Linked DNA regions of Drosophila melanogaster. The protein of the gene in region 3 interacts with the protein of the main gene of each other region in a pairwise test. Each region holds a gene or a part of one and is shown on either strand. Other genes may lie near its edges. The genes, in order: Prm, CG16721, CG10508 and CanA1.

Region 1 (4,615 bases), about 12 Mb from region 3:
ATATATAAGGATGGTTAGCCCATCTAGAGCTCTAGATGTGTGCGTCAGTTGGCCTCAGGTGAAATGTGTGTGGAAAATGAACACGATTATGAGCAAGCCGAGAAAAAAGGCACAAATAACACGAAATTCGGTTGCTAAAAATAAGCGAAAATTCATTTTTAAGTATAGTTAGGCAAATGTGTGTTTGTGTGTGGAGCACAGGTGGAGGAGATCGCTCGAAGACGAACGAGAATTTTCACTCGAAAAGCTTCGGTTCCTTTGGAAAAGTGAGCCAAAAATCGCCGAACGAAGCGTGTTCGCAATGTAACAGAAATTATTTACACAATATGTATTTACTATGGGGGCACATGGAGAGACCCGTCAGTTGCCAAAAAGATATAATGCAGAGACAGTCATCTACGTGACCATTGAACAACAATTGTTAGATGACATCGCATTGTCTGAGGCTGAGCAGACTGCTGTCCGCACGGCCAAGGATTCACTCAAAATTGTATATTTTTGTTTATTTCGCACAATTTTTTTTCACACACTCTCTACGTCTATTTATTTATGCTGGCGAATAACACGTTTCGATGCCAAAAGTCAAGTATTTTTAGAAAACATTGCTGTAATCCTAATTGGCTGTTAGCGAATAATTTAGAAGGCATATCATAGAAAATTTTGACACTTTTATGATTTTTCTGCTTGTGTAAAAATGTTGTAATACCCCTGAGATCTGTATAGCATATATATTTGGGCTCTATATTTGGCTGGGGTTTCATGCTCTAGCCTCTTTTCTTTTTGATAATAATATATGCTAAATCAATTTGAAATCAATCGATTCAAATATTTACATATATAGTCTCTAACGCTTAAATGTATTCAATATTCTAGATGTTCTAATGTTCTAGAAACCGTTTCCAAAAGTCAAATCATTCTATTTAAGTTTGCTCCCAGAATTATATCTCAATCTTTATAGTCTAGGGACTACGTGCTGGAATACTGGTTTGGCACTACCTTTTAAATAATATCCGAGGCCCCTGAACCAAGAAAATGTGCCAATAAATATAAATTATGAACTTTATGATCTGCAGAGGATGCCAAATATTTCAACATGACTTATATGTATGTACGTTCGAGAATTGGGAAAATTTATGTGTAGATACATTCTGGCCAGACGCTAGATACACAAAATGAAACGCACAAATGACACAGGCTAATTACAGGTAAGCAATAGAAAAGAAAAGACAAGAAAAGCAGGCGTACTTCGTGTTTTTGAGTTTATTTTCGTAGGGGGCAAGCTCTCAGGCAAACTAGCGTGAAAATGCGTTCACACAAGCTTCGGCCCAAGTGAAATGAAAAATCAAAGAATTTTCCACACAACTGAGCAATTAACACAACAACACGGCCGCGTGAAAAGTCACTCGAAAGTCCCACTCACATTCACATAGGTGGTGGTGGTGGCTTATAGATATATCTCAGGGTATATCCCACTCGGATCCGATCGGCGGGGAGCCGATGGCGCCCGACGGCGACCGAAGGCTCCCGAAGGGAACCGAATAAATCGTTGAAATAGACGAATTCAGCTGGCAGGCCAAACCAATTCAACGAAATACTCTTTATTCGAACGACAACGGGATCTCTTGTTCAGTAGATCACCAGCCTTACTCCGACGTTTATTACGAATTTTCTCGGTGACTCGGTGACAACTACAAAACTGCGTGCGGTGCTGTATAGATTTTCGCTTGAGAGGAACACACAAATCATAATACTAGATACGCGAACCGATCGCACATTAATTTATAGAACCAAAATCGAAAATCTGACCTAGCAAACATGTCGTCATCGCAGGCTGTCCGCTCCTCGAAATACTCCTACCGTGCCACGTCCACCGGACCCGGTACCGCCGATGTGAACATCGAGTACATCCAGGACCTGAGCTCGCTCTCCCGCTTGGAGGTAAGGATCCCGTCCCGCTCCGTCTCGGAATCTCGAATTCGAATTCGTAATTGGAAGCGGACCGGTATCGTTTAAGAAATCGGCATCGTATTGGGCACCAAATCCCCAAAAAGACGTTGGAATTCCGACCAGGGAATAGGAATACGAAATGCGTGTGCGCCAAATTTTCTTCAAAATCTACGAGAATTTCTCTCTCTTGTTTCGGTGTCTGTGTAGAGACTGAAAAAGAATCGGAATATAATCAAGAAAAAATACGAAAAACAAACTAAGAAACCCGAAAAATTCATCTACACTCTATATCAAATGCACATATATACCGTAGATATATATTCGTGTGTTAAGTTCTCGGCGCGTTCTTGTGTGTGGAAATATAGAAAATTCGGTGAAGCAAAATTCTAGATTTGTATATGTATCTAAACGTGTCTGTATATACATATGCATTGCTAAAAAATTATGTAATGGCCACCTCTGGGCAATACATATACACGAGAAAACATCGAAGAAAAATTTGTGAAGAAATCAATCAACTGTGCTGTAAAGTGCTTTTTAATGAATGTTTTAATCAAATAATATGAAATAACGAGCCCATAAAAGATCAAACTCAATAAATGTATCCACCATTTTCTTGCAGGACAAGATCCGTTTGCTCCAAGATGATCTTGAAGTTGAACGTGAGTTGCGCCAAAGGGTGAGTCATTCAATATGGAAATATTCATAATTTTAAATATTTTTAAGTTATTTTTGAACCGAGTATTTTTAAGGTATTACTATAGGTTTCTTTGGAATATTTTTGAACATTCTTAATTTATTGAGAGCATCGTTTTTAGTCAATAAGATTATTTGCTGATGAAATCGGCGTCAGAGATATGACATATCCGAGGAAGTTAGAAAAGATCAGACCGCATTCTCCGAGACCCAATGGAAATCAAAGCGCCAGGGAAAACCATTTTTACTTTTTTCACCTCGCAAATGTCACCCTAAAAACAGCAAAAATATGTGGAAAGCCAAAATAAAATCAAAATAGACCAAAGTAGCAGTAGCGATAGAACCGATAGAAAAGTCAGCAAACAAATGCAAATCTAAGAATAAACTACCCTTCGTAGAGTTTCGAAAGTGTGAAAGTAAATGATAATGATGTGCATTGAACTTCAATCGCTTTCGTTTTTGGCTTTTCCTTCCCTGCGGAGCATTGATAAATGATTTTTCCCCTGACTTTGCAAAGACAGCGGCCGCAAAGACAGCAAAGTCAGGAACAGCCAGAGAAAAGTGGGAAAATTCGCAGGCCGAAAGTGCACTTCATTCAGCGCAATCCTCTTGGGCGTTACAAATTTAGAAAATGCGAAGAGCTCTTGCCGGAATGGAATGGGCTGGCCAGGAATGTTCTGAAAATTTTGTTAAAAAATCAAATTTAATTACTTTGTGCCTTATGGATTAGCACGCACTCGCACACAGATACAACGCCCCCCAACACACACTCACAATATATGGAACAAAATGGCTAAAATTAGCGCACGACATTCAATACAGAGAAGCGAATGATTAACTTGAAAACAACCAAAATATGAGCAGAGAAGAAAAGAAAATAAAGTAGCCAAAAAGTCATCATCATCACCATCTTCATGATCAGCGGCGGCAGAGAGGAAAATTCGCTCGCTCACTACGGGAAAATCTTCGCTTTTTGTCTGTGGGCGTGTGTCTGTGGGAAAATTAAATAATTTTCATGCACATTAAAAGTCTTCACACCGCCTGGCATTCTTTCTACATATCCACATATGCATATATAGGCGGCAAAAACATGTATCTACAAGATACATATGGCGCAAATGGATTTACGGCCCGTACTTACGTGGCCTTTGTGGCAATCGGCAACTTTTTGTTATGCCAAATGAACGGACAAACACATGTTCGCCTAGGTATTATCATAAACATAAATGTACAAACATATTCAGCGAGAGATTTAAAAGAGATTTATCAGACCAATACGTTCTTTATTTAAGCTTGGGGCATTTCAGTTAGCTGAATTTTTTATGATTGCTTCGGACAGCTCCAAATACCAGAAATCCCAATGGCCGCACATAGCTTTCATAAAATAGCATTTAATTGCAATTCGCAAAATTGACCAAACGAGGTCGTCGACAAAGGCGAAAAGCAAATGTTTAGATTCCGAGGGAGCCAACAAAAAATGTTTCTGTTCAAGCGAAAAATGTTCGAATGCCTTTTTGGAAATGCAATCTAGGAAAGCGGTGTGCGGCCGCCCACAAAAGATATATACGCATATATAGACGCATATATCGTGGATGCAATCGGACTATGGCTACACCTCTGCGTGGAAGATTTCTTGGCAAGATGCCATTGTTATTTTAGGTGTTGCATGTGCATAATTATTTTTGACTGATTAATGTGATTTATAATTTTTATTATGGGCTGTTTGAGTAGCCACAGAGCATGGCTAGCGCAGGGTATTTATAGATCCTTCACATTATACCAAGTCGCTAATGAAATCTCTTCTTAATCTCTGCTTATATTCTTCAAATTTCAGATCGAGCGCGAGAAAGCCGATCTCAGCGTTCAGGTCATTCAGATGTCCGAGCGTCTCGAGGAGGCCGAGGGTGGTGCTGAACATCAAGTGAGTACCATGTGGTAAACCAATATTGCAATCCAGCCATAACTGATGTAT
Region 2 (5,701 bases), on a different chromosome or scaffold from region 3:
AACCGATTTGGTGTGCGTGGTGGTCTCGTTGCAGGAGTCACACTTGACATCGCTCAGATCCTCCGATGTGATATACTCGCTAAGCAAGTGGCCCAAACTCAAGCCAGTTCTGCGTTGCGGCGGCAGATTTAGCGTTATGCTGTCGAACTTATCGTACCGAACGGCCGACTTGGAGCCGCAGCCATTGCACACGATCTGTGCGCCCATGGCGCCCTGAAACGGATGCGCCACTTGGCTGGGCATCATGTTGGACCAGATGGACACCCGACCTGGTCCGCGATGCAGGCGCTCTAGCGATCGACAGGAGCTGGACACCCGGCGATTCAGACCCTCATCCTGCTGCTGTTGGGATTGTGGAAGTCGCGGTCGCGACGAACGCTCGCCGCCCAACATAGGCGTAGCCAAGGAATCCGGATTGCTGACGAGCGGAAAGCCAAAGGGTGTCCCTGGCGAAACGGCATCCAGAAGCACGGATCCCAGGCGATCGTTTCCGTCGCGTTCGCAAACAGAGGCAGGCGAATCCGGTGTGTGGGCCTCGGAACGCACCAATCGCTGCAAACTGGTGCTCTCATCATACTCCATGTTTAAGAAATCAGTGAGCATGGCACTGGAGGGCCGGTTCGGTTGATCCCCGATCCTCTGGCTGGCTCCCAGTCCCGCTGCCATGGAGCTAAATGATCGAAAGCCCCCTACTGGCGTTGCTGTGCCTGCCAAGCTGCTGTTATCATCGTTATCCGTGGGCAGAGCATCCGACAGACAGCCGAGGGGCTGTGGTCGTATGGCCTCCTCCTCCAGGCAGGTCAATAGCACGTGGAACAGCTCGTGGGCGTCGTGCTCCTCCTGTGGAATCACCCAGCCCAGGGCATTCAGAGCCCGGAGAACGGCTCCCGGTGAATAGGGATCGCCGCGCAGAGTGGCATGGGTGCCATTGACCACTTCCAGAGTGTTTAACATCGACGTAATTAAGCTTTTTCGATCCGGCGAGGCGTTGTTGTACAATTGCAGCCAGGCAATGAACTGGGGACAGGCGGCCATCGCCTGTAGCAGGGTGTTTAGGAAGCAGGTCAGTCCAAAGTTGTGGAGACCGGCAATTTGGCCGCGTCGTTGACGCAAACGGGAACCTGCAAATGTTTCGCTGGAGTAGGGAACTACGCCATGGAAGATCTACTACTCACCCGAAGGACCCCAGAAAACGAAGGCTCCGACTACGGCGGCTACCGTCACTCCGGCGGCCATTAGAATCTTCTCGCTCTCCATGGCTTGAGATTTCCGATGGCTGGTTTTCCGGTGCAGATCACTGCGGTACCGGGAACTCCCAATCCCGCCGCCAAAATCGCACACAGACTAACTCTAGTTAGGAATTTAGACCGAAAAAATTTTTGTGTCTCTTGATGTGTTGCAAAGCGATTCAGTTGTTAACACCACAACGTGCGGCCATTACGCAACACTGGCGCGCAATTATCGTTAAATTTGCAGAGAAAATCAAGTATTTTAAAATTCAACCGAATCGTTGTACATGTGAATGTTTCTACTATAAGCATTAAACAAACATAAGTTTGACAGCTTAAATTTGTAAACGTAGAATATATTTCCCATACTATTGTATCGTCTATCGATAGCGACGATTTGATCAACTTTCGATAGGCACCTCGAACAGCTGTGTGGAAAGGGGATTGTAATAAAGGAAAACAAAGTAGGCACAACAACCAAAGTTTTCAATCGAAACGGAAACATTCGGATATCAGTCGTCGTTCTTAATAGTTCAGATTAGAATAAAAATCCTCCTGGAGGAGCATAATTGAGTGAAAATTAACTGCAAAATTTGTCTGTGATTGTGGAAAGTGAATCAGCTGTTTGGGAAAAGTAAAACGGAATACTCTGGAACCTTCTCGTCGTTTCTTCCTATTGTAAGTATTCGGATTGGCTTTCATCTTGTTTTAATGCAGCCACTTTGCATCGTCCTTGTGTCTATTTCCCAATTTTCCAATTTTCCCCAGCTGACTTGCTGCGCAATAGGAAAAGCAACAACAACGAAACATAAATACATACACACACATACACACACTCGCATGGACCTAATCGCTTCTGTTTTTGTTGCTACTTTATTGCGCCGTTTGTTTATGTCGTCTATTCGCTGCGTGGCCGTTGTGCAATTTGCTCCCATTTTCCACATTTAATTTTGGAATCTGTGCCACGCAGCTTGCCAAATTACATATTCTAGAAAATTTGAGAATTTTCGAAAGTGTTACATTTTATTTCCATTCAAATCTTTTGCGCCTTCTCTCCTTGTCGCACATTCATACATGCAAGCAGACGCGCACTTGTTTGCTCATTTGTGTGTGTGTGCGAGTCACGTTTAACGGGTTCCTTCCGTGTGTTTGTTTACAGTGGGTATTGGCTAATACCTATTTCGAAAATAACAATTGAAACACTATTTTTGGTTGAGAAATATGCGCACACAGCAACAGGTTATTGAAAATTGGTTATGTGTTGCAATTATAAACCTAAAAATATTTTCCTGCCAACTCTTCTATATGAAAATCGATACTAATATGAGAAACCGCATCAAGGAATATGGAAGAGTAACTTGTATCTTGCGATCACTGTATCTAAGACCCCCTTTCTTTCCCAGGCGAACTGACCCCGAGCGGAGCTTTAGCGACGACCTCGAACAAAGAACAAAGAAAGCCCGAGTGCAGTTGCCAATTGCCTTGTAATAATCACCAAGCCATATATACAACTGGCTCTAACCGGTGGTAACCAAATTCGCATTTGGTCGAAACCAGTTGCTGCAGCTGCCTAACGTCGCACTTCCGCCCGTGAGGAGACAACAAAGGACTGGAATTTGAATATGGATGCCCAGGAGAATAGGAGTGAACAGTCGGGACAATCGGGCGACCACGAAGAGCACGAGGAGCGCCGGATCCGTACGGACAGCGAGAGTTCCGTGGAAAGCATGACGCGTTTCGTGCTGCCCAGCTTGGATGGTACTCCGCCGAAAATTGTGACCCTGGACGAAGTGTCCAGCATGTTCAAGAATTTGCGCAACATGGAGCTGGCCCACGAGATAGCCCTCAATCCGGACTTCAAGCTGCAGAAGTACGAGCCGCCCTCGGATAGGTGAGCATGTGCCAGCAGCAGCCCTGTCAGGGAAACCATTCAATTAACATTCCCATGTCCACAGTTTGGAGGGCGCCATCAAGAAGATGGTGCACAAGGCCTTTTGGGATCTGCTGCGTGTGCAGCTGGACCGCCAGCCGCCATCGTATGATCAGGCCATCCGGCTGCTGGCTGAGATCAAGGAGTGCTTCCCGCAGCTGCTGTCGCCCAACAACGAACGTGCCCTGGCCCACATCAACGAGGTGCTGGATGACTCCGTCATCCGCCAGCAAGCGGAGCGGGGTACCCTGGACTTTCGAGCATATGCCAACTTTGTGATCAACATCCTGTCGCGATCCTGTTCGCCAGCTAGGGACGAAGCAGTGGCCGCTCTGCGCAAGATCGACGATGTGGTGGACACGTTTCGCTGCATTCTCGAGCTGATGACGCTGATGAAGCTGGATATGGCCAACTTTATGCTTCGACTGGCGCGCACCGAAATCGCTGCCAATTCGGTGCAGTATGAGAAGGAGAAGTTTAGCAAGTACTTGCGCGAGTTCCATGGAAATGGTGGGTTGTTGGCCAAAAAAAAAACTACAATGCCTTTATTTATTGGGAATGCCATTATTTCCAGTTGGTTTTCCGGCCACTGAGGATTGGCTGCAGCGTCACCGGTCCGGTAGCAGCGATGATGAGACCATTTACAATGCCTACATGCAGCTGATTGACTATCCGGCCGACAAGGAGTTCCCGGAGCTGTTGCGCATCGACAAAGAGCGCTTCGCCGGCCTAAGTTGGCGAGCCCAGCGCTTGATCCTGTGCGCCTCGCTCATCTCGGTGGCCCAGGGCATGCCTATCATATCGCAGCGCCGCGAGAACCGCATCAAGCTGGCCCAGCAGCTGGACATCATTGTGCAGGACATCAAGAACCAGGAGTGAGATACCTCGTGCTCTAGCCGAGCGCTGTTTTAACCCTTCTTCAACCTCAATTCACAGCCAAGTGGCCTCTACCATTGAGAGCTGCTACGAGCAGATTCGCTCCTTTGTGAACAAGGCCCTGGAGCAGGAGAACTTGCCTGCGCTGAGTGATGCCGACCAGGCGGCGCTCAAGAACCAGGTGCTTAAGCTGGCCAACAAGACGTCGCCGGTGCCCAGTTTGATGGGTGAGTTTACTCGTTTATGCAATACAATGTATTTTATATTCAATTCACGTAAATCGCTTGCAGCCAAACGATTGGATGGCTATGTGCGCGTAACACTGCGCTCCAATGGCAGCATTCCGCCGCCGCCCTCAGGATTCGCGGACTACCAAGAGGAGCTGGTTGCATTTATCGCCTCGTTCCGTCGTCTGGTGTCCTACAACCACGCCGTGTTCGGGGAGCACTTCCACCAGATACTCAACAAAACGCTGCCCGGTGAGGAAACGGAGGCTACCACTTCCACGGCCAGTGGCATAAATCCTGGCCAGGCTCAGACTGCCAAGCCTTAGGTGGATTTGTCTACCGTCTTAGGCAACACAAGATACCAGTATACAACACTCAGACACACCTGTAGGCGAACAACAGATCTGGCGGAGATCTGCATGATGTTAGGGCAACCGGAGTGGCGGATAGCATCTTCCGTGTGGAGGAGGAGGGATTCCGCATTCCGCAGCTGCTTTCCCATGTGACGTGACACTTGCGTAGAAAATTTGACGCACGCACCCGTAACCACCAAGTAGAAATGAGTACTCCAGATGCAAATCCCCCTGCAAAAAAGCCAGTGGGATCCGAGGCATCTGAAAGGAATCAAAAATGTGCTGGAGCGTCTGTGATAACAAGAATATTCAACACAAAATTCAAATTTTTGGGGGTTAAGAAAAGTGAACTCGTGAATTATGTGTGCTCCTCAATTTTCGTAATGTAAACCCCCTCTTTATAGTACATACATATATATATATATTATGATTATACACGTGTACCCTAACCCCGGACTAATCCTATATCTTAGACCTTTGTGACCGTAACTCCCATTGAATTTATTTTGATTGTTTCGATTGATTAGCAGTGTTTCGACTGAATCTTCACGAATATATCTATACCTAGTTTACCGAAATTCAAAGTAAATGAATTCAAGTGATTTCATCTTTTTGGTGCGGAAGGGAAAGGTACATCATCTAATTTGTGTGATGTGATTGGATTTTAATTTTGCGAATTAACGAGAAATTATTTAAAATATGCGACATCGCTATGAATTTGAATCTAAGAGGTTGCCAGATCGGGGTAAAATGTAGAAAGTCCGCCAGATGGCGGCACAGCATGAAATAGTTCGCTAGATGGCGTCTTGCTAACGGATTTCTATTTCGTACCAGATTCGAATTACATTTCCATTATTTAAGATTTAATTAATGATTTGGTTACCCACTGATTCCAATATAATAAATTCAGTGAAATAGGTTAAATTTTAAATATCTAACAACTGGCCTTGTCGACATTAAAGCCCATGACCTCGCCTCGCATTCATTTGCAATTTTAGTTTCGTTTTCGGTTTACATTTTCACCGATTTGCCTTCGCAATGGATTACAGTATAATTCGCTTAGCTGCATCGATAGTTAGCTGCATC
Region 3 (7,818 bases):
GAGGGTCAACTGGAGTGCCCGGAGACAGGTCGTGTGTTTCCCATCAGCGATGGTATACCAAACATGCTCCTTAACGAGGACGAGGTCTAGATTACACCCATGTGCTTTTTGTACCATAATCCCCATAATCCCCTTTCTCCAGACGCGCATTAATATTAAATAAGTTTGTTAGTTTTAAAGTTTGTTTATTTACGAGTTACTAAAAACAATTGGAGCTTGGATGGAATGTGACTTCGTTTTTTTTTTTTTTTTTTTTTTTTTTTGTTGAGTCTACGTACTCGTGTGGTATTTGGTAGGTGTTTAAGGATAAGAGCAAAAAACACTACGACATATATAAATCGTAAGTCTGAACATGTGGAGGGTGGTGCTTGGCTACTAAGATTCATCTTCACTTCTTTGGCACTCTGGGGGAGGTTCCAGATGAGATACTCCCGCCTAGTTGCATTTGATGTTGGCGCTCTTGTTGCTGCCTTGGGCGTAGATGCTGCCCTTCGCCAATCCGGACTGGGGTCCTTTGCAGAGTTCCGATTTCCCACCCCTTGGCTTATAGGTGCGATCTGTGAGAAGACTAGCATTAGGTCCTTGAGTGATCTGCTTTTGAAGAAGCTTCGTGTTGGGTCCATTCCAGGTGACATAATCGGCTCTGAAAATAATTTTAATTATATTCATAGATGAGTCTTTGTTTTTATTACTTCGACATTAAGTTGAACTACTTACAGCAAAAGATTTTCATCTGCACCCTTGCTTAGCTGGGAATTGGGTCCCAAACTGGCCATTCGTTCGATAATAGATTGAAATTCAGCTGATTCCGAATTATGCGAATTTCCAAGGGAGTGCTGACGATGTCTGTTGAGAATTGGTTAAATTTGTATAAAAGTTCTTTTTATATTAAACTAAAATATTTCAAAGATTTAATATTTTATATTGAGCTTAAGGCATGCCGAAAGAATATAGTTAACAGGTTCAAAAATAATATCTCAAAAACGGATTTCCCGATACTATCCATGCGAACTCCTTGAAAAACTCATGCGCAAAACGATTGATTTTACTTAGCGAAACGGTAAAAAAACGGTTATCGGAACGGTTTTTGGTTTTAGCGGGCATACTTCAGTGAATCGGTTTTGGTGCGAGCACGACTTTCGAAAGCTGGCCTCCTCGCGATGGATGAGGAGTTGGACTGGGCCGACGAGACCAGCGATGAGGACGTCATTGATGCGGAGTAGGAGGAGTAGGAGCTAGCATTTGAGGAGCCATGCAGGTAGCCGTCGATGCTGTAGTTATTGGTATCGCTCTGGTGGCCAAAATGGTTATGGCCGCTCTTGGCCAAAATGCTCTTGGTGGTCAGGCGTTCGTAGCTTTGCTGGAAGATGCGGGGTGATTGTGGGGGTGAGGCATATGAATGCGATGAGGAAGCACTAGAGATGGATGACAGATGGGTCTCCAGCTTCATCTCCTCCGCTGTGGGCGTTGGTGTGGGCGTAGCCTGTGCCAAAATGATCTGGGTGGTGAACGTTGATGGAGTGGTGACATTGATCGATGGAAGAATGTGGCGCTTGTGCGGCGGCTTCGGCTTGGATGAAGTGGTGGGCTCCACCACGGCGGGCAGGCTGGATGATCAAGTGGCGCGAGGCAAGCGGATAGTGTTTTTTTGGTTCGGGGATTTAGTCAGAGGCGGAGGCAGCAAAGAAAGTTCACATAGAAAATAGGCAGTCGATTAAAAAACGGATAAAGCAGCGAGCCAAAGAGAGTAACTTGATTGAGTGGGTGGAAAAAGCGGGTGCCAACGACCTTGATCGGTTGGTTTTATTCGCGTGAGCGGGAAAACATAAAGTCAAGGGCTACCTGTCTTTTTCGTTGGCACCATCGATCTGCTCGGTTCCTGTGGTTTTCTTAAGATCCAGGTGCTTGGGATTCATGGGAGCCTGCTTTTGCTCCCTCTGCTCGTCCTCGTCCTGGACTATTTGTAGGATTTGCGTAGCCCTATCCTCTGCATAGTTGACGGATTCCAAAGCCATTAGGATAATGCGCTCGGCAATCTGTGGGTACTTCTCCTTAAGCAAAGTTTGCACTGTAAGTAAAAGATGTTTATTTAAGTGTTTTACGTGTACAATTAAAACCTACTTTTTGTCTTCTCTTCCTCTGTGTATTCCTTGGGTCTCAGCGGTATATGTACACCACTCTGATCCCCTCCAGCCTCCTGATCTTGATTTAGGTCCGGCGGGCGATTGTTGGGTCTGTGTGGCTGTTGCATATCTCTTTTTGTGTAGCCCAAAGAAATCAACTTTTCCGATGCGAACTGCACGTTGTTATCCGCATTTGCCAGGATATCCAGAAGCAGCTCTTCGTCCGCCTTGGGGAATATATTCTTCATGTATCTATGGTGGAATTTGGATATTATTTATCATCGAAGAAAATTTAAGTTAAAAGAATATTATGTTACAACATCGAGAATTTAAAAATTTGTCACTTAATATGTTACCTTGGATTATATAAAATAAATGTTTCAACAAAACATTAACAAAACACCAATTTAAAACCAACGAATTATATTAAAAGATACAGAACTTTTTATAAGTAACCCAAGCCTAATAACCCTTAATAGATTGTTACAAGCAAAAAATAAAAAACTGTAAAGTAAGAGATTAAATCCGATCTTTTGGTTAACACAGATTTTAAAGCAATCCAACAATGCTTTGAAATGTCCCTCGATTTTGAACCCCATCGAACCTCAGCTTCATCTTGGGCGACGAGTGCGGCCTGGGCGAGCTGCGCCACAGGGGCGATCCGTGCAGAGCCGGCGGAACAGCCGAGCTGGGAGGCAGAACAGCCTGATGGCCACTTGGACCACCAGGACCGCTCTGCACGCTCACGAGACTACCGAAGCGTCCGCCGGGCAGGGGACTGGCCGTGCGCGACGTGCGCCGACTAGCTACCGTGTCCGGCCGACGTGCCGGTGGCGTCATGTAGAAGGCGGAGCCGCTGTGGAAGAGGTGCCGCTGCGAAGGGGGCGTCACAAAGGGTCCGGGCATGGTAACCGGGTGCTTCTCCACCTGCAGCGCACTGACGACAACCGCCTCGCTATTGTAGTAGCTGGAGTGGTGGGTTAGTAAGCGTGGGATTAGCGTTTAGTCGTGGGGTTAGACAGGTGCAGTAAGCAGCAGAATTAGGCGGCGTGTGAGAAGACATAGATGTAAGTACGCAGATTAGTACGCCAGCTGAGCTGGCACGAGCGCTTAGCTGAAGTCGGGACCAATTTCTTACCGCTTGAGCAGGAGACGTATATGGTTCTCGCCAGCGGTGGGGAACATGTTCTGGATTTTGGTCACCACGGCATCCGTTTCCGCTTGCGTGGTGAACGAGGTCTCCTGAATGGTGGAGCGCCGCGAGAGATTCGGTCCCACGCGAGCTCGTTGAAAGGGCAGAGGTGAAGACATTTCCTGCGGGTTAGGTGGAAAATTAATTAATAAAAAATTCATTCAAACCAATTATCGATACTTAAACGCAAAGTAAGCAAGGGGCTTCGGATACTACTCATGGAATTTCATGTTTGTTAACTTAAAAAACATACAACTATTTCCTGAAGGTCTCAGCCTATTTGAATTATCTATTATTAGCCTCTTACAAGTATCTACAATCAGGATATCTTGTTGTAATCACTATATCAGAAGGTAATTGCGTATTTTTTGTGCGAAAGAACGACCTACTTATGCACATTTTTGATGATGCTCACAGATTTTTCGATGCGCACCCACACGTGATTTGCCTATTGATTGCCAACTATGGCTGTAGTTTCTCTATCAAAATCAATCTTCAGGTCATTTCATACTCACCAAGTGTCCCCTGGAGGAGGCCGACAACAATGGACTGGTAGAGATGTTGTGCAGCGTGGGTTGCTGGCGCTCCTGGAAGGCCCGAATTGCAGTCAAGTTGTTGCTGGGATGGACGTGGTACGGCGAGCTGTTGTGCGACGTCTGCGGCTGACTGACCAACTGCTGAAAAGTACAAGGGTTCCCATTCGAATAAAAAATCAATAAAATGCAGGGTAGGAAGCGGAGGTTACCTGCAAGGCTATCGACTCCGTGGAACAGCGTTCGTTCTGCAACTGCCTGTAACTGCGGCCGCGCGGATCCTCCAGCTGCATGGCCTTCGTCAGATAGTTTATGTAATAGCTGGAACGGGAAGAAGGGCAGCCGAATGGAAGATGAGCTTCTATCAAATCAAAGGTCAGCAAATGACCTCCCACCCAGGGCCATTCGAAAGCTCTTGGATTCAGGCCAAGGGTGGAGGCACATCCTAAAGCCGGCCGGTTGGTGGTGGACTGGATTGGAGTGGATTGGTTTGGGATTCTCCCCACATGTTGATGGTCCCTTGGGAGGACGGACAGGTAAAGGGTGAAGGAACCGCCTAAACCAAGGCACGTGCCAAGTAGCTGCCAAAAGGCGGACGCACAGTCGTCATTTTCATCGTCGTTTGACAGGCCATCTCTGCTCTGATTTTCGGAATGGAGAGGGTGGATGTCGACGAGGACGTCGTGAGGATGGAAAGCTCGTCTTCGGTTGAGTGGCCTCTTGAATTAACGTATGACAACGTATGTTGCTTAATTGCACATGGCTTTTTAAGCATAAGGGGTTAAGTTATATGTATATATGTATGATAGGCTAAGGAGATGTTAAAGACCCCGCTGGCATCCGACGACGCGGAAGTGACACAATTTATGCCGCTGAAACGAGGCCAATTGGAGTGGCTAAGGAGCACTAAGCTAAGTAGCCCATAGGGAACCACATGGTACCCACACGCTGGGTCTTTAGAGTTCAGTAAAATTGTTTTGCGTATCAGTAATAATAATTTAAATTTAAATTAAAACATTTTCTTCAAACATAAAACATTTTGAAAATTTTATGTTAGAAAGTTCTTTCGATTATAAGCTGAAGAAAAGTTAGCCAATATCCAATCCAAGCTTGTACTTCGTTCCATTGTGTGTTAAATGAATAATTTAAATTAGTACCGAGCTTGCGTCCTAAGAGTTTAAATACCAAAGGTGTTTCAAAACTAAGTTCTGCAAGCCACCGAACTAACGAATAATTTCCTTATCACTATAAGGCCAAACATGGCAAACACCACCTCAACCGGACGCCTACCACCCAATCATTTTAAAGTAAGCGACTTACGCCCCCAAGGCCCCCTACATACACCCACAACCACACACCCAACCATAATCCTTCGCCCACCGAAAGAGCCACCCCAAGCGACGTTGGCACGCAAATTTATCAGTTGCCCCCGTGGCAACCTATCAAATGGAACCCCTATATCCCACAACTGGCCACCACATCTCCCAGTACAGTCCGCATTTCACGACATTGTGGTTAATGGATGCATAAATATTTATGACGTCGGGCTGTGCACATGCAACTCACCAATTTCCAGTTGCTTGATCGTATTTGCAGTCCCAGCCGGGCGGCATTTTCTGATAGCCACCGGATTCGCTCATTTTCACCGCTCACGAATAGATACAGATGCAGATACAGTAACAATTGCACTTGCAGATGCGAGGCGCTTCGATGCCCAGTTAAACCGAACGACCGTCGTTTTATTATTTTCGTTTTCTGCCTGAATGTTTATGGACGTTTAAAGTCGCATTCGCAGCTTGTTTGCCGACTGTCTGCAACCCCGAAAAGTTGGCAGGCAGGAGTGCCCTTGCCACTTATCCTGCGCGGAGCTTTGTAGTTGCCTTTGTCGTCGGATGTTTCAGATTTGGGGGTTGTAACCACCCTCGATGGCAACCTCTCCTCGGCAGCAGAGTTATTTTTGTTTACAAGGCACTGCCTGCCGGGAAAAAGGACCGCAACACACAGATACACACGCTCACACACACACAGTTCGATGTGGCGTGCCGTTAGTAAGCAAGCCAGCCAGGCTTTAGCTACCCGGAAAGGAATCGTTTTTGGGGAATCCTGGAGTCGCGACGCTATAAACAACCTCGCGAGCCAAGCTTTGAGAGTCAACTGAGGAAATCAGTGGCGGGCGTTAAAGCTTCAGATGCTGTGCGAATAGTCGTTAAAAAAGCTGGTATCCAGTGTTGGAATTTGCCCGTCGAAAGCTGTGCGCCAAACTTCGATTCAGCTTTCAAACAGGCACACAATTCGAATTTAGCTCCCCCGTCAATTTTCCAAAAATTTCACCTTTGATTTACGCATTTAGTTCAGCTACAACTACACATCGGCAAAATGGCCGAAATCTTGGCACGCTTGACGCGTGTTTCGGAAAACTACCTCCAAGAACTGGAGGAGGAGCCGGAGCCACAAGGACCGCCCAAACTAACCAAGGCTCAGAAGAAGGCCGCCAAGAAAGAGGCCAAGCGACTGGCTATGATCGAGGAGAAGCGGCTCATCATGCGGGTGGGTTCAACTAACTTTCGCAGAGTTTTTATTAAGGATGAACCTAAGCAAATCCTTAATATTATTAATTTTTATAATAAAAATAATATATTAAGACTATATTAAAATTGTAAACGCATCATTTCTAATGTTGCGCCATGATCCTCTCAGGATGCCCTGATGCGCGAGCTGGAGATGGGCAAGCATATGGAGGAGAAAGGCAACGAGGAGTGGCACGAGATGTGCCGCGAAATCAAGATCAAGGAGCTAAACGAGGAGATGAGGGCTTGGGGCGAGCGCTCGGAACGTAACATTCAGGCCAAGAACGACCACATCAAGATGCTTCTGGACGACATGGCGCAGACGCAGGATCAGCACGTGCGTTGCTACAGCAAAACGGTGGAGCTGATTGATCACATTCGCGACTGCTTCCACGTGATGTTGGGCGGGGTGAAGAGCATGTATGACCAGCAGGCTGACGAGATGCTGAGGGATTACTATGAAGAGGTGCGCCGGCGCACCGAAGAGGTGGAAGCCATGAAAACGAACTCCGAGAACATAATCCATGCCACCAACATCACCACCCGGGATCAGCTGAAGGAGGATTACACTATCTACCTGGAGCAGCGCGACGATCGCGTGAATACGGAGATTGAGAACAGATTTAAGATTCGAGATCAGATTGTCCGCCGGATGACGCACATGCAGCAGCAACTGAACGACTTCGTGGAGTCGCTGAGGAGCACCGAACTGGATGCCCACAAGTACGAGAAGATCCACTGGCTGACGGAGCGGCAGGCGGCTTTCATGGAGGAGTCACGCAAGCTAAACGCCGAGGAGTCCAAGTACATCAACATGCAGGCGGAACTGCAGCGCGAAATGGTTCGCATGGATGCGGAGAACAACTCCACGCTCAACGATCTTCGCCTGGAGTTCCAGTACTTCACCAACGTGCGCAAGAAGATTGAGCTCAACCAGGAGATGGATCGCGAGATCACGCACGAGAAGTTGCGCATCCTGACCGGCGAGTGCTACGAGTTGACCAAGGTGAACCTTTGTCCCAAGCCCTATTACCCATTTCTAAATTGAAATATTATTCCAGCAAATGGAGAAGCACGTGAAAAGTGGGGAATTACTCTTGGCCCTGTCGATCACTTGCAGGAAACTGCAAACCGAATCGGAAAAGGTAATCCTCGGCGGCGAGGTATTCGACGAAACCGAGGTGGATGTCGATGAATACTTCAAGCTGCAGACTCTCAACCTGAAAGATCACGTGGACATGACCGAGGAGGAACTCGTGGAGCTAAACAAAAGTCTCAGGAACTTCTGGCGCCGCCAGGCGATGGCCGAAGCTCAAAACCTGCTGATGCTGGAGGAGAAGCGTCGCCTCACTGAGGACAATCAGCGCCTGATCGACTTTATCAAATCCATGAGTGTCACCGAG
Region 4 (7,613 bases), on a different chromosome or scaffold from region 3:
GGAGTTGCCCTTTTCCGAAGGAGCCTACCAACTGGTAACCCACTGGATTGCCTACGACATCGACTGAGTTGTGGTGAAAGTATTTTAGTAGACACTAAAAACTATTTTTTTTGATAACAAAAACTATACTAAACTCATTATAATGTGGGTTCATTATGATTTTCTGGCTTGGTGGAGCTATTAATTGCTTTGTAAATTGTTTTTATGTTGCTGATTCAATAGAATATTAATAGGGTTCTGTAAACAACTTACACTGGTTAGTCGATATCGAAAGATGGGTGTAAATCATTGTGGTTTAGTGGCGCTTTTGGCTCTTTCAATTTCAATAGTTGAGGTAAGAGTTATTAAAATATTAGGTATAATACGAATCAATTCAAAATCTTCCTCAGATATCATCGAAATTTGAGTTCACAAATATCATGTGCAATTCTTTGGATAAACAGTTTTCCGACTTTGAGTATTGCTACATAAAGTCGGTTAATCGTAGCTACAAGTATGTGTCGATCAAAGCAAAATTATTTAAAACGCCAATTACCAAAGTCAAGGTATTTAAATAATTTGGTTAACAACATTTTCTCTTCTACAATTACTCTTCTCAGATCAACGGAGTAATTCTCAAACGATTTAATGGATATAATGGCTATAGACCTTTCATGTTCAATATCACATTGGATGCATGTAGATTCATGAACAACACAAAGTCGAACCCGATAGCCAGTTACCTTTATGATTTCATTAGGCCCTTCACCAACATGAATCACAACTGCCCCTACGATGTGCGTATATCCCTAATTAAATCCGATCTGTGCTTATGTTTCTGGTTTTCTATACAGCACGATCTCGTGATCGAAAAACTACCCATACACTTCGTTAATCACCAGGTGACAAAGGTCCTTCCCGTTCCTGAAGGGGATTACCTATACGAAACAAATTGGATGGCCTACGACATAAGGAGGGCTGTGGTCAAAGTGTACGGAACTATATCCTGATTAATTTATAAGGCATATGTTATAATTCAAAGTCCCTACACGCATTACATCAATTTGATCCTGAGAATACCTATGTGTGTTGACTTACCCTCCTTGAGGGAATCCCTTCCGCCGGACAAAGCGCCCACTGGCAGGGCGCCCGTGGGCGTCAGACCCTTCAGCTGGAGCACGCTCTCGGATTCCTCCCTGCGGGATGTGGGAATATTGAATTATTTAGCTGAATCCACGGGATTATAGGAGGCATTATGCACCTGAGGATGGAGAAGACGCGCGACATCTTGCCAATGGCCCGAATCTTATTCCGAATTATCTCTTTGCGCAGCGCCGACATGGAAGCTGCGAATTGAGGGCTCGATTAGACGGAATCTCGCGGGGTCACGGGGTAAATGTAATGGTAATCAGCTGGAAAACTCGCTGAAAAGCCGATCAAAGCAGGGCGCAAGGCAATAACTAAGCTTTTCGCTATCTTCGCTCAGGCGATTTTCGTTGGCTCAGGCATTTTTATTTTTGGCAGTGGGAGTGGCAATGGCAGTGGCATTTGCATTGGCGGTACTGTTTGGCTTCACTTTGGGCCTGCGTTTAATACCTGGCTTACCTGGCTTACTGGGCGTATTATTGTTATTGTTATTATTGCTCGCGTTCGCCGGCACGAGCACAATTTTCTTGCGTAGCTCTTTTGGTCGTGTTTTGGACGTGTTTTGAGTGGAAAGTTGGTGGTGGTGTTGGTACAGAAATTATTATGGGTGTTGGTAGTAGATTGCAGTTGTCGTATTTCGATATTTGGTTTCGGAAAATATTTTTAATAGAAGATTAGTTTGTAATTCACGTGTATCCGTATTGGCCCCACAACATCCAAAGCACTGCGACATTGACACACAGTCTAGTACGGACAGAATCGCTCTGTGGATCCCCAAACTTACCTTCCTCGAGCTCGTCATCGGGTCCGGCCACCAGTTCATCGTCTGAGCAAATGTTCAGGATGTTGACTAGCATCTCGGTTACCTTTGAATGGCATGGTAAATTGGATATTAAAATCACGTATAAAGATTTCAGACACTTTTGAAAGTTCTAGTTCGAGTATTATGGCTTAGTTCCATCACTGAACTCAAAATACATAGATAATCCCACCCGATTGGGTGCGAACCCACCTTTTCGCCCACGAAGGGCAGCGACCATGTGAAGACGTCCATGAAGTTGGGTAGCCAGTAGGGATGTGGCGAGCAGTTGAACTGGCGGATATTCATCACGTTGTTCTCGTACTTGAGCACAGCTGCCTTTTGTCAAATGGGTTCGATGGTTGACAAAATCAGCGCGAGCGGAGAAAGAGACGGGGCGAGTGCCGGAGAAAGAGATGGAAGAGAGGGTATTGCGAACGCAGCGCGATTTAAACTCGCACCAGCTCGCAATGCAGCCAAAAAAAGATTTCGTTATTTAAAAATAGCAAAGTCAGGAACAACAACAGCAAGATAAATAAACAACCCAGAAAGAGATAGGGTGAGCAGGGTGAGCAGAGGGAGAGAGGTGGAACTATCTCATACCTTGTTATTGTAAACATCCAGATAATTGGGGGCGGAGAATATGGTGATCAGCGAGGGGAAGCCCGTAACCTGGTTCTTCCGATACATGCGATACCTGAAGCGGAAGGAGTTCGATAATCATATGGATATTACACCATGGTACTTCCGATCCTACCCCGCATCCTGCGCCTCGTGCGCCCTGACTATCGACAGCAGGTTGTTCTTCTGCAGAAACTCACAGCAGGCCGAGTAGCTGAAGAAGTAGGAGCACCCGCGCACCGAGTTGTGCGAGAAGAACTCGTTGGTCTTCTCGTTGCCAAAGTCCTCCAGAGGATCGGACCAGAGCAGGTCGCACATGGGCCCGTAGGCCGGTGGTTCCCTGAAGCGATTCAGCTGAGAAAATCCGCACAGATGCATTATATTGTAAACATTTCAGCGCTGCTTTATTACCGTCTTGATGTCGTCGAGTGTGAAAATCTCGGGCGACAGACCGCCGTGAATACAGAGGAACTGCTGGTTGAGGAGGGCGGCGAGGGGCAGGCAGTCGAACGCTTCCATGCAGGCGTCGTAAATACTTTCCGAATACTTGATGATGCCTTCAACAGAGAAAAATTAATGAATTAGCGACGGAAGGAGATTTATAGCATGCATATTCGCACTTAAAAGCGCATTAAGTTCGTAAAGTGACTGAGGCATGCAGGTTTGCTCATTTTGTAGTTTATCTATATCAACGGGAAACAAATCAACTTTCTCATAACTAGCAAATTCTGGCATTAACTTCAGTTAAGTCCAACTTACATTCCTGCTTGAAGGTAAAGTACTCTGTGAGATGCCTGCACTCGTGATTTCCTCGCAGCAGGGAAAGCGTGGTGGGGTAGGTTATTTTCAGGGACCACAGGTAGAGAACGCACTGAAATTAAGTGGACCGTTTAATACAAAAATGGAAAACGCAGTATATATTCCTGATAAGTTAAGATACAATTTTCATATGGACCCACCTCAATACTGAAGTATCCCCTGTCCACGTAGTCGCCTAGAAAAAGGTACCTAGTGGTGGCCGGCGGGCCGCCCACTTCGAAGAGCTTTACGAGATCGAAGAACTGCCCGTGGATGTCACCGCACACGGTAATGGGTGCCTCCACGTCGATCATGTTCTTCTCCTCGCGCAGCAGGGCGGCTCCTTCGGTGATGATCCTCAGGGCCACCGCCTCCTCGATCCGCCCCTCCAGCAGAAAGTGCTGGCGCAGGGCGTCGAAGTTGGGTTTTCCGGTCTTCGGATCGTCGTATACCTCCGACATGGTCAGCTTGTGGGTGGGCGGAAGTGGAACATCTAGGGGAGTAACAAAGAAATTAATCAAATTATTAAGTAAAGATTATTAAGTAAATTGTTATCACCCATTTCCAGAAGAAGAAGCCCCTGGATTCAATTGTTAATTATATATTGTATCTTGTATCTTATATGACGTGAATGGAACATCTCTTTGAAAATGGGGTTTCTCGTATTGTTACAGTTCCCCTGAATTTTTTTCGGTGTAGTCTTGCATTGATAGAATTATAATAAACATCGCTGTCCGACGGCGATGTGGGTTAACGAGGTGCTGCAACTTAGCGCCAATATTCATTCGGTTTGGCCGCTTTTCTTGGCCCGGCTATAAAGAAAACCGAAATTCCGCCAGATGCAGCCACATGAGATTCGTACGCTAATTACAAAATTTGACTGAGTGAATATAAAAGTCGAAAATTGATTGGCACACACAAAACAAACAAACGTAATCGAACACACACACACATCGAAACGTCAGGGCGAACGCCATTTTTAATTGTCATAATTTGGGTAAATGTCTTGAATTTTGACGCAATGGCCAATAAAATGCCAATGTACTGCAGTTGTTGCTTGTTATGGGTGCTCGAAGATAATTAAATTAATTTTTATGGACTCAATAAACCAAAGAACAAAAGCGAGTACCGCATTTTCAGTTAAGGGTTTTAAGTTACGATGCCGAATAATTGATTAATAAAAGCACATTTATGGCAGTTGCATCGGAATATATGGGTTATTAAAAATCTGTAAATTATTTATGTATAAATAATGCGCATAATAAGCAATTATGCATTGTAAAATGGTCTGTAAAATAAATCGATTGAAACTTGCTCAAAGAACATTTTTTGAAATTAGATAAATTTACATGAGCTATAAAATGTTTTCCTTTCTATGTTTGTTTCCATTTCAAAAGTCCATTTATTAGTTTTTAAACATGAAAACTTAACGATCGATGTACTGCTCCTCGAGAAGGTGCAGCCATGCTATTGTTTTGAAAATTACAAGCATGACTTCCCAATTCTCAAAACACACTTTTCGAAACGCTTGCCTCCGCCGACTGAAATGTTCAAAGGAAATAATTTGTGAAACCCTCAGTTTTGACATTAATGACGGCGGTCAGCACATTGGAATGCCATTGAAGCATGATCGCATGTCATTAAAGATACAATCGCAGTAGGGAATCGTGCTTGGGATAATGCTTGATTGGGGTCCGTAGTGCTTATAGAGAGTAGAGATCATTACCATCGACCATGCGCTCCCTGGTTTTTGTGTACTGCATTTTCTGTTTGTTTCCACTGGCGGCTGTCGGAGATTTCGAGGAATTCGACGAGGACTTTGCCGATTTGTCTGAACTAGAACTTTTTGATAGCGATGATTTCCTCGTCACCGAACTTCGCGTGGAGGTCGCCGACATGATGCTTGATTATTTATTCGGCCCCTGCTTTTTGTTAAATTTTTTATTTTTTTTTATTAATTTTTCTGCGTTCTGTTGGTGCTGATTTTTGCGATGCCTTAGCTCGATATATATTTTTTAATGGCTTGACTGTTTGCTGGTGCTGAAAGTGTTACTAACACAGGAATTTAGATAATTATACGCCTTTGCCTAGCGTCTTTATGGACGACGAGACACCAACACAGAAGCGCACAAAACACACAAATATATTTAGGCAATAAATAAAACTTGTTGTTATAATTTGTATAGCTGTGGACTTTCTTGTATTTTTAGCCAGGCAATGCCAATATAGCGAGATAGAGACAACTTTCGCCCGCAGCGCACACGAAACAAATGTTGAACAATTAATATTTCAATTTGCTGCAATTATTCAGAGACGTATTAACTTTTCATTAAGTCATCACATTGTTTAACGGATGCTTTTGGCAAAGGGTAAGCAGCACTTCAATTGAGACGGAAAATTGCTCGACACTTTGTGCTAATTGCCCACAAAGCGAGCGACAACGAAAATAGCAATGGATTTGCGAAGAGACGGCCAGACAGGCACACACATATATCACTTTGGTCACACTTTGTTTGCAGTTCGCCGTTTGCCGCTTGCGATTATTGTTATTATTTTCGGGCTAATCCTTTGGGGATTCTCGGGGCCTTAGTCGCGATGATTTTCACGGGACACGACGCAACGCATTTCCCAAGTTGGCGCGACGCGATTTTCCTCGAAACTGAGCGAAATTCGCTGGCATCGTTTGGCATTCAGAAGACCCAATTTGAAAGCCCGAAGAAGATCGGCTGTGATCGGCCGATCTCACGCCCTTGACTCCCACTCTCCGCCGAAAATGAAAATATAAATAAGAATACACCACGCTCTCGTAGGGTTCCATCTATTTGTTTATTTTATTGGGTTAATGTCACACACGCACTCTGGTCTCTTCTTCGTATCACTGCCCTTCTGCGATCGTCGACTGGGCGACTGACTGCTCGACCTTCACAGACATTTACACATCTGTGATATGTCCACCCCCATCCCCATCTCTATCCTCATCCTCATTTCCACCTCCATGCCCCATTCCATGTCCACATCCGCTCTCAATGATTTTCAACTTGACCGTGATATTGATTGTGTGTGCGTGCGTCCGAGTGTGTGTGTTTGTGTGTGATTGAGCGCGAGTGTGTGTTTGCCAGAAATTGGGCGCCAATAGGTGGGTGTCGCTATAATTATAGTCTTGACTTTGTGCGCGCCTCGTGCAAAAATATATGCGATCTACAATTAAAAGGGGGTGTTTCGGTTCGGATAAGATTTATATTTGATTAAAAAAAAAAAATTAAAAAACATAAGAAATCAAAAGCTTTTATCTAACGATTTAAATTTAAATAAATACAGTTTTTTGGGTAGTACATTCAATATAGTATAGTAAGTTGATTTTTATATATATTTTGATAGCGCATTCGCGGTTCTGCTTTTCATTTGAATGCTTCGCTGGTGGAACCGATTTCATGCAACTTTTATGCGAAGCGTGGCAATATTTGCGCAACTATCTGTGTGGGGATGGGGATGGCCACATAAAAAACACAGCCACAAACAATATGTGTGTTTTGCCCCGTCAATGTTGTTTGTCGCGATGGTCAATTGATATGTAGTACGATTTGGCTGGGGAAGCGCTATATCGCTCGACAGACAGACAGTTCCATAATATATGCTGGGAAGGATGGATCGCCCGATTTCGGGCACTCGGAATCACATTCGGAATCTCCGAATCGGAATCCATTGCAATGCCAATGCACCCGCTGCCAGCCAAATGCGCATCGATGGCACTTGGATTTTCGATTTGGCAAAGAGCGGAGACGATTTTACTTGGACGCCCCCGCGTATTCGCAAGTCGCAGAGAGACAAAAGCGAGTCACACGACCGCCGCAGACTAGAAAGAAATACTTTCCGGTGCTAACCAGTGGGTGGGATTGGATTCGAGGGGGCTGTAAGTGCTCAGTAAGGGGTGCGGCGGGGTGCGATGGGCGGACCGATGAGAGCATTGCATTCCCAACGCGAAATTTTGGCAAAAGCGCTGACAGCTCAGCCCAGTCCAGCCCCCCATCCTTCTTGGGGTATCCAATGGCAATACGGGGTATTTAACTTTCGAAAGTGTCGCCGAGGAATAGAAGAGCTCAATAAGTGTCACTATATATTTTCAATCACTAATATGTTTCAAAAATATCATACGTTTGTGCTGGCATTTAAATAGGTATTTAAGTATGGTTTACTACTCTACTTTATTGTTTAAACACTGAGTGCGTGGAATAGTTGTTTGCAAATTAGAGTTATTGCAAATACATACGAT

The links.
Region 1: the proteins of CG10508 (region 3) and Prm interact in a two-hybrid assay, tested with the Drosophila melanogaster proteins (one large-scale study listed by BioGRID).
Region 2: the proteins of CG10508 (region 3) and CG16721 interact in a two-hybrid assay, tested with the Drosophila melanogaster proteins (one large-scale study listed by BioGRID).
Region 4: the proteins of CG10508 (region 3) and CanA1 interact in a two-hybrid assay, tested with the Drosophila melanogaster proteins (one large-scale study listed by BioGRID).

What each region holds. Positions count from the first base shown.
Region 1 is NT_037436.4:8,742,286-8,746,900, reverse strand, and holds the start of Prm (paramyosin), read left to right. Parts: upstream 1-1,590; 5' UTR 1,591-1,815; coding exon 1,816-1,938; intron 1,939-2,569; coding exon 2,570-2,626; intron 2,627-4,477; coding exon 4,478-4,564; intron 4,565-4,615. UniProt on the Drosophila melanogaster protein: Paramyosin is a major structural component of many thick filaments isolated from invertebrate muscles.
Region 2 is NC_004354.4:5,878,202-5,883,902, forward strand, and holds CG16721 (uncharacterized protein), read left to right. Parts: upstream 1-1,667; 5' UTR 1,668-1,907; intron 1,908-2,332; exon of another isoform or gene 2,333-2,468; intron 2,469-2,617; exon of another isoform or gene 2,618-2,632; 5' UTR 2,633-2,851; coding exon 2,852-3,120; intron 3,121-3,184; coding exon 3,185-3,669; intron 3,670-3,733; coding exon 3,734-4,034; intron 4,035-4,095; coding exon 4,096-4,262; intron 4,263-4,278; exon of another isoform or gene 4,279-4,325; coding exon 4,326-4,588; 3' UTR 4,589-5,190; downstream 5,191-5,701. Other genes in the region: Usp30 (ubiquitin specific protease 30), read right to left, coding at 1-1,121, 1,176-1,257.
Region 3 is NT_037436.4:21,208,401-21,216,218, reverse strand, and holds CG10508 (uncharacterized protein), read right to left. Parts: upstream 6,005-7,818; 5' UTR 5,489-6,004; coding exon 5,415-5,488; intron 4,170-5,414; coding exon 4,061-4,169; intron 3,993-4,060; coding exon 3,831-3,992; intron 3,438-3,830; coding exon 3,262-3,437; intron 3,091-3,261; coding exon 2,728-3,090; intron 2,458-2,727; exon of another isoform or gene 2,376-2,457; coding exon 2,122-2,375; intron 2,069-2,121; coding exon 1,843-2,068; intron 1,608-1,842; coding exon 1,107-1,607; coding exon of another isoform or gene 1,094-1,106; exon of another isoform or gene 905-1,093; intron 847-904; coding exon 718-846; intron 644-717; coding exon 436-643; 3' UTR 168-435; downstream 1-167. Other genes in the region: Trmt112 (tRNA methyltransferase subunit 11-2), read left to right, coding at 1-90; CG10510 (uncharacterized protein), read left to right, coding at 6,225-6,395, 6,546-7,421, 7,477-7,818.
Region 4 is NT_033777.3:31,037,767-31,045,379, reverse strand, and holds the start of CanA1 (calcineurin A1), read right to left. Parts: upstream 6,007-7,613; 5' UTR 5,832-6,006; exon of another isoform or gene 5,396-5,831; 5' UTR 5,242-5,395; coding exon 5,070-5,241; intron 3,837-5,069; coding exon 3,505-3,836; intron 3,417-3,504; coding exon 3,305-3,416; intron 3,103-3,304; coding exon 2,957-3,102; intron 2,900-2,956; coding exon 2,682-2,899; intron 2,622-2,681; coding exon 2,528-2,621; intron 2,264-2,527; coding exon 2,138-2,263; intron 1,992-2,137; coding exon 1,910-1,991; intron 1,663-1,909; coding exon 1,585-1,662; intron 1,326-1,584; coding exon 1,241-1,325; intron 1,176-1,240; coding exon 1,078-1,175; intron 990-1,077; coding exon of another isoform or gene 834-989; intron 777-833; coding exon of another isoform or gene 600-776; intron 540-599; coding exon of another isoform or gene 390-539; intron 335-389; coding exon of another isoform or gene 275-334; intron 86-274; exon of another isoform or gene 1-85. Other genes in the region: CG33920 (uncharacterized protein), read left to right, coding at 275-334, 390-539, 600-776, 834-989. UniProt on the Drosophila melanogaster protein: Calcium-dependent, calmodulin-stimulated protein phosphatase which plays an essential role in the transduction of intracellular Ca(2+)-mediated signals. Many of the substrates contain a PxIxIT motif and/or a LxVP motif.